2 linked regions of the Lonchura striata genome follow. The protein of the gene in region 1 purifies or fractionates together with the protein of each later gene. This does not show direct contact. Links are inferred from orthologs where the notes say so. Each region holds a gene or a part of one and is shown on either strand. Other genes may lie near its edges.

Region 1 (3,744 bases):
GCACTCTATCATCTTCCCATGGACATACAAGTAGATACCACTCTGGCCTGCTTCCTGCTACTAACACAGGTGTTACTGAAGCAATACTGGTAACTCCCACTTCTCTACCAAGAAAAACTCCAGTGGGAAGTATTTCAAGGATCTCTTCTGTGACAAACACACTCTGAAAATTACCAGGAACAGACACATCATAACCAAGAACTCTTCACAAAACTTATGAAAAATATTGGCCAAGTCCTAAACATACCAAGAGGCAAAAGGAGTGGGAAGTAATAATTTACAGCTCAGTACTTGCTTCCAAAAGGCTAACAGAAGATCCAATTTGCTAATCTAGTGCAAAATCTACCACAAATCAAAGACAGGCACAGCTAGCTAGCATAAGAAAAGAGAGGTTGAAAAGAATTCAAATGCAAAAGCCACTTCAAAAGCTAAATAAAGTCAAAATGTATCTCTCTGAAAACATCTACAAGCTTTACCTAATTTTTTCATGATCTGCACAAATGGCTCTGCTCTTCCTTAAAAATTGCTGGAAAATCTGCTCGCTATTAGGGTCCAAAATATGCCAACTCCCTTACAAATTTTTCAAGCAACAGAGGTTTTCAGCTGCCTCAGTGGCAGTGTTCAAGTGTCCATCTGTTCTCATACAGTGTTTCTAACTAATCCATCCCTAATTCCTGTAACCCTGACCAGGGTAAAGCAAATGGTTGTAAATAATCTTTTCTAAGAGTCAGTTTTGAACACGTCCTGTTCTCTCTGCATCTCCCACCACTAGCATTACCACCCCACTGCAGAGCAAACATACATCACAGTTTTAAGATTTGGACACATGAGACCTGTAACCTTCATTTCACTATCCAAAATCCAGCTACTACCTCTGTCCAACCTTTAAGTAAGGAGACTGCAGCAATCATTTGCCTCTGAGAACAGGAGTGGCAATTTTATAACTGCATCTTAAGTCTGGAAGAATCAGTGCAAAGTTTAAATCCTAACAAACTGAATGGGAGCTTCTAAACCAAGATGAGTCCATAACACAGTCACAGCACAAAGTTCGCACACATACAACCCTGAGCCATCTATTTTCAGCCTAAATTGACTTCCGGCATAAAACGTAGCATCTGATGCTTAAACCTTCTTTATATAACCCTTGCTACAATTTCTATCTGCCTTTAATTACTTAGCTGACAACTCTTCTCAGCAAAAAAAAAATTACTCACATGTAAATATGAAATGACATAATTGCGAAAGCACCTTACTGCTTTTGCTGACTCAAAGTAACTGTTTACAGCCTCTTAAATAGATGAGGTTGTCCAGATGCTAAAATCCCCATAACACAGAACATACTAAAGAAATATATGAACAGGTGCCTCTACTCAGAAAATGAGGACATATTTCTGGTTGGAGCAATAGCCAAACTCTCCCTGTTAAAACACATAACTACGAGGTGTGTAACTTCTATTTCACCACTACCTAATTTTTATGAAGTGCATGACTTAAGGCTGTACCTGACTGCCAGCTACTACCTCTACCTGCTCCCTACCCACCCTCACAACAGGCATAGGGACATGGTGAACAGAGGCTCGCAAAACTATACAAAACATTTTGTAGTCAGGTTTATCCTTTCTCAGCCCTCACCTGACCAGGTCTCCATGAAGCTGCAAAAAGAGGTTTTTCCTCCCTTCTCTGTCACAGATCTCCGCGGCTTGGGTGTCCACTGTGCAGAGGACCAGGTGCAAGTCCGAAGGAGCCGCAGCTGCTGAGTCTCTCCCATAAACATACACGCAGCCTCGTCGAACATCCCCTTTCAGCCAGGTCCTCTCACGGGAACCAACCCGACTGCTGCTCTGGCAGCTCCTGCTCCCGGTGCGCTTGGCGTTCCTCTGCAAGGCAGCCCAGACCTGAGCGTCAGCAGCGCCTGCGGCCGCTCCGACCCGGCCCGCACCGGCCCGCTCCGCAACTCCGCACAAGCGGCAGCCACTGGCATGGGAAAGACCACGGTCGCAGCGGGCAAGTGTGCCCGACGTGCCGCAGCCGACTCCCACTCCCCCCACCGAGCCGCCCGGAGCGGGGGAGGCCTCGGTCTCCTCCTCACCTTCAGCACCCGGATGCCGCCGCGGGATCCGGCCCGGCACCCTCGTGTGGCGCCCGGCGCGGCCGCCTCGTCCTCCTCGGGCTCCTGCGCAGCCCTGGGCCCCAGCCCGGCACCCGGCCCGGCCTCCCCCATCACCGGCCAGGCCGGCACCCCGGGCCTCCGCGGCCCGCCCCGGAAGCGCGCGGCCCGTCCGGCGCAGGCCCCGCCCCGGCGGCACCGGCGGGGCAGCGAGCACCGGGCCCGTGTCCGCGTCTTGCACCAGCGGGCGGTACGAGTGTGAGCCGCTCGCCAGCCGGGCGAGGAGAAGGCAAAGCTCACGCGAACGCTGCAAACGCACCTGTCGCCGCTCGCCCTCCGCACAGCTCCAGCGTGTGTCACCATCGGCACCCCGCAGCTGAGGTACGCTGCTCAGCAGCCGAACAGCACCGTGCTCCTGCTGCCCTGCAGGTCCATCTCCTAAGCTCTGCCAGTCTTAACTAGTGTCTGCTACTAATAATGTCATTAACTACTAGTGACGTCATCATCTACCAATGACATCATCATGACAGTTTGCAAGAATTTGAGCATGTTTTAGGGCAGCCACTGCTTCTCCCTCAAGGATCAAGAACATTAAAAAAAGCCTCCCACCTTCCCCGCAGTGAAATTACACGTTTGAAAAGACGTGAAAGGTCATCTAGTGAAATGTGACTGTGACTAAAACACAAAGCAGACACATGTGGTGAGAGAGATATGGTGACAATCCTTGTCCAAGAGTCACATGGAGTATGAAAGGGGTCTTTTAACAAGCTCCTAGAGCAGGCTCCAAACACATTACTTGTGTTCAGATCCCACCATGCCTTTCTAGCACCTGGACAAACATTGCTGCTTGTAACTAACATGCTCTCTCTCAGGATGGTATTCCACAGGAACTACTCAAGTGTTTTGCAACTGTCCACTCATCTTAGTCTCCAAAATTTCCTGTAAAGTTTTTTCAAAACATGGCCATGTTATTTTGCATCATCTCACATTGCCATGGCCAAACATTAAGAATCAAAACATTTTATCCCACTGTATTGGCAGAAAGCAACAAGGCGATTTTAAATCATTGAATATCGTCTCATTTTATTAGTCACTTCATAATTTGTTTCAACCAAAAGACAATACACACAGCAGAAGTCTAATGCATCCCATGTAAATGTTTACATTTGTTAAGCTCCTCACTCACCTGTGACTCAGCATTTAATTAAATTTTTCACATCTCAAAAATAGGTCTCCAGAATTTTGAGTGCCAACAGATGCCCTGCCTCAAATGGCATGTTTTTCACTTTAAATTTGGTGGCTTTGTTGGGGGTTTGTATTTTAGTAATTTTGTTTGCCTTTTTTTCTCTATACTGTCAAAGAGGCAGGATGGGGCTCTGTGTAAAATTTAAATTACAACATCACAAAATAAAAAGGAATATACAGGAGTAGAGTGAAAGTTAAAAGGGAAGAAGTCCAGCAGCTCCTTCCCTCACAGCCTCCAAGTAGAAAAGGAACACACAAAAGTGCACCAGTGTCACTGCTGCCGCGGCCCATAGCTAGTACCAGCCTTAGCCAAGGCACTGGTACCTTTCCCAGGTGCTTCAGTATCTTCTGAGTTATAGATCCCAGGTACTGTAAAGACAGTCCCCTCACTG
Region 2 (3,744 bases), on another chromosome or scaffold:
GCAAACTGCAGATGAGCTCGTAACTTGCCACGGGATCTTCTTTACAGCTTCCCTGCAATAACAATGTAAAAGGAATAAGAACACTTGCCACAGTTACATTGGTCACAAATTAACATTTTTCTCTCCTCCCCTCCCCCTTGGTTTTCTATATCTGGCTGAATTTTTTGTCTGCTATGGGAGGCAGGTGGGTTTCAGACAATATTTTGGTTTTTTTCCAAGTAGGAGACAAACATAAAAGCCCAATTAGCCATTAGTTTAAAATCCCAAACCATTCTTGTCCAAACTACCATTTCCATCAGCTCCAGGCACTGTATCATAATTATCTTTGTGCCAGAAGCATGGTCAGGTATCTTCCTCAAATTTCTTGTGTTAGACTTTAAAAATTCTGCTAAAGTTCAAAACCACTAAAATACATCTTCAGATTAAGTAACAGTGTAGAAAACTATGCTGAAAAGCTTCTTAAGAACAGAAATCAGTTAAATTTTCCCTACATTCAGGACAGCCTTGCCTGTGAGGTTACAAATATAAAGAACACGTGGGGATTTGTTACCTTTTCTGCCTTTTGCTCTCCTTCATCCTTTGAAGATTCTCTCTTCTTTGAAATAATGTTATATAAATGTTTTACTCCAGTTTTAAAACCAGGACAAAAATATAATACCTGAAAGCAACAGTTGAAAACACAAGAATAACTGGAGTAAGAAGTTATTCCAAACATAAATGCACATTTATCATCCACACAGCTCTGCACCTCCCCAGGCACACAAAGATCCAGGATTTTTCACAGCAGGGAGGAGCCCCGAGTATGGAAACTGAAGAATTTCCCAATCAGGACGACCACAGGGCACACATTTCCTGCAGCAGCATCTTTGTTTCCCCTGCTGTAATGAGATGCCCTTTACACTGCACCCAGAATAAATTGATTTCACCCATTTGTGCTTGTCCAAAACCTCCCTTCTGGAGCCCCCCTGGACACGGCCTCACCTGCAGGACGCTGTTCAGGTAGCAAGTGTTGCCCAGGTTGTTCAAGCCCACAAAAGGCAACATGTTGTCTTTTTTCTCACAGCTGACAAGGGAGGGGGGCTGTGCTGCAGGAACCACCTGGTCACTGGGAAACAGAGAAATGGGGTAAGAGACACTCTGGAAAAAAATCCCTCCTTCATCTCTCCCCACCTCAGAGAATTCAGCACTGAGACATGCAGGTCTAAACCCTGCCAAAGTGTGTCTGAATTCACACTGACTTCTCAGCAACCCCCCAAAACCACACAGGAGGAACACGTGCTCCAAGTTCCAACATAGCAGGAGACTGATTTAATAGATCAAAAATTCCATATTTAAATAATTTTGTATGTTCTTTCTTCATTGATATGGCAGAAAAAATGTGCCTAGAATGTATTTTTACACTGCACCCTGCTCCAGTCACATCATTTCATTTCTGGGTGCAAAGCCAAAGCATAAAACCAGAAAAAAAAACCTAGAAAAAGAATCCAATAAACCTGACACACTATACACTAGTGCATAGATTATCATTATTATTAATCACTGCTAAAAGTGAATTATACATTGCAATGACACAACGCAACCCAATTTTAAAGTCTCCAACTATTTCTAACTGACCATAATTTTCTTTTTCCAACTTAAATCCCCCCAGTAGCAATGAAATAGTTTTGCTTAGGGCCTGAAAAACCCTAATGAATGACAGCCAACCCCCAATTAAAGATCCTTCATATTTTCATTAAAGCTCGCTTTGCAGGAATTAAATTTTAATATAAATAGCTCAGTGACACAATAACTACTTATATTAACTCGAAGCAAAGCAAGTTCTTCGACTGATCCCAATCCAAAATACCAAAAGAGCAAATCGCAGCAGAATAAAAGTTATTTTTTAAAAAAAGAGTTCCTAGAAGTTGGTTTTAAAAACTAACTTCAGCAAGCGATCCCAAAGTTTGTGCCAACTAGACATCCCCGGTGCGCCGCTTTTTTGAGACGGGAATTGGTTGCGGCACTTAGGTGGTTCGGTTTGGCGAAGCCGCGGCGCCGGTTGCATTACCGTAAGCGCTCGTTAATTTAACGGAAGCAGCAGGTTAATTGGGTTTAGCGCGCACGTTAACGGGGCTGAGGCGCAGCGCGGAGCCGAAAGCGAAAGGCGCGGGGATGGCGGCGCGGCCCCGGCACCCCAACTTGTCCCGCGCGGCACTCACATCTCGGCGCCTCGCAACTCCGCTCCCTTCGCCTCATTTTCCTGCGCCTCCACGAAATCCAGCACCCGCTTCGCCTCCTTCTTCTGAAACAGCTTCAGCGACAGCCGGTTCTTCTTGGAGGGGCTGGCCCTGGCGCTGTCGCCGGGCAGGACGCCGGGCATGGTTCCTGCGGGGCGCGGCCGGGGCGCTCACACCTGGCGCGCACACACACACACACGCGCACACCAGGCGCCATTTACTCCCCGAGGGGGCCGAGCGCGGACCCGCCGCCCCCCGCCCCGGGCTGGGGCCGCCCCCCCGCGCCCCCCGCATGTTCCCCGCGGCCGGCGGGCCCGCGGCTCCCCTCACTCACCGCTACATGCCGGCCCCGCTCCCGCGCGCCGTTGCCATGGAGACCGCGCGGACACCGCCGGACAACTTGGCGCGTTTTTTTCCGCGCGCCGACGAGGACCCCCCCCCCCCCCTCCCACCCGCCCCGCCTCGCGCCGCAACCCCCCCCACCCACTACCCGCTGGCGGCCGCCCGGTGAGAACGCCGGTAAACCGAGCGCGCCGCCGAAGCGCGCCGGAGGTCGGAGGCCATGCGGAACGCGGCGCCGCCTCGCCGTCGGTATGTCCGCCGCGTCCCGGTAGCCGCCGTGATGCCGCCAGCGGCCGCGCAAGGGCGACGCTGCATCAGGCAGCGCGGCGGGCAGCCCGCTGTGGGTCCTGCCTGAGCGCGCGCGGGCGCTGGTAACGGCCCGGCCAAAGGGCTCGGGTTTGGGCTGTACCACTAGCGTGGGGAGAGCCCTCTAAGCCCCCCCACCGCCGGCGGGAGGTGGATTGGCCCCGCTGTGACCACGCCCTCTGCGCGGCTCGGCCAATCAGAGGCGGCGGCTCCGTTTCCCGCCCTCCCCGCCCTGAGGGCCCGCAGTGGCCCGGAGCTTCCCGCGCTTTCCCCTCACAATCCGCACATTCCAGCGGAATTCCCAGCGCATCCCGGCCCCAGGGCTCCGCCAGCGCACCTGTACACCGGGCAGCCAATGGCACGTAGCGCTGAGGCTGTTACGGCTGCAAAGCTGGCGGGCTAGGGGTCGCCACGCTTAAAAAGAGACGGAATGTGGGAAAATGCTGTAGATTTCTGCGTTCTGCTCTTTACATTGGCCCCTCCAGCACCTCCCGTCTGTACATAAAGGATGCACGTTGCTTATTCATACAGGTTTTCCAACAGAAAGGTTCATTCACATAAGATATTTTATAGGATTAGCTGCATAACTCACTTTGGGCAACACCCAGATCTGGGTTTTGGGGTGAATTACCCCAAATTTCAGCACTCAAAAGCTGAAGTTCCACAGGACCAGCTGCTGCTGCCTGCCCTGAGCGTGGCACTCCTGTTAAGCACTAACGCAAACTGACCTCCACAAAAATCACTCTTTTTTGCAGTCCTGCAATATTTTCAGAATTTTTTTTTTTTTTTTTTTTTTGCTGTTGCCTAAATTAATTATTACAGCAAGTCACTATCCCTAAATACTCGTATGAATTGTGGAAGGAATTGTTTATATTCCAAC

The links. Proteins that work in one complex are often made in the same cells at the same time.
Region 2: the proteins of PHLPP2 (region 1) and USP1 purify together in Homo sapiens (affinity purification with mass spectrometry; 3 studies listed by BioGRID and IntAct, with this or other methods). This does not show direct contact. The link is inferred for Lonchura striata from reciprocal best matches to the Homo sapiens genes PHLPP2 and USP1.

The regions. Positions count from the first base shown.
Region 1 is NC_134615.1:23,822,040-23,825,783, reverse strand, and holds the start of PHLPP2 (PH domain leucine-rich repeat-containing protein phosphatase 2), read right to left. Parts: upstream 2,239-3,744; 5' UTR 2,222-2,238; coding exon 2,090-2,221; intron 1,878-2,089; coding exon 1,633-1,877; intron 1-1,632. UniProt on the Homo sapiens protein: Protein phosphatase involved in regulation of Akt and PKC signaling.
Region 2 is NC_134611.1:6,444,145-6,447,888, forward strand, and holds the start of USP1 (ubiquitin carboxyl-terminal hydrolase 1), read right to left. Parts: upstream 2,649-3,744; 5' UTR 2,551-2,648; intron 2,393-2,550; 5' UTR 2,360-2,392; coding exon 2,199-2,359; intron 1,106-2,198; coding exon 982-1,105; intron 659-981; coding exon 551-658; intron 53-550; coding exon 1-52. UniProt on the Homo sapiens protein: Negative regulator of DNA damage repair which specifically deubiquitinates monoubiquitinated FANCD2. Also involved in PCNA-mediated translesion synthesis (TLS) by deubiquitinating monoubiquitinated PCNA.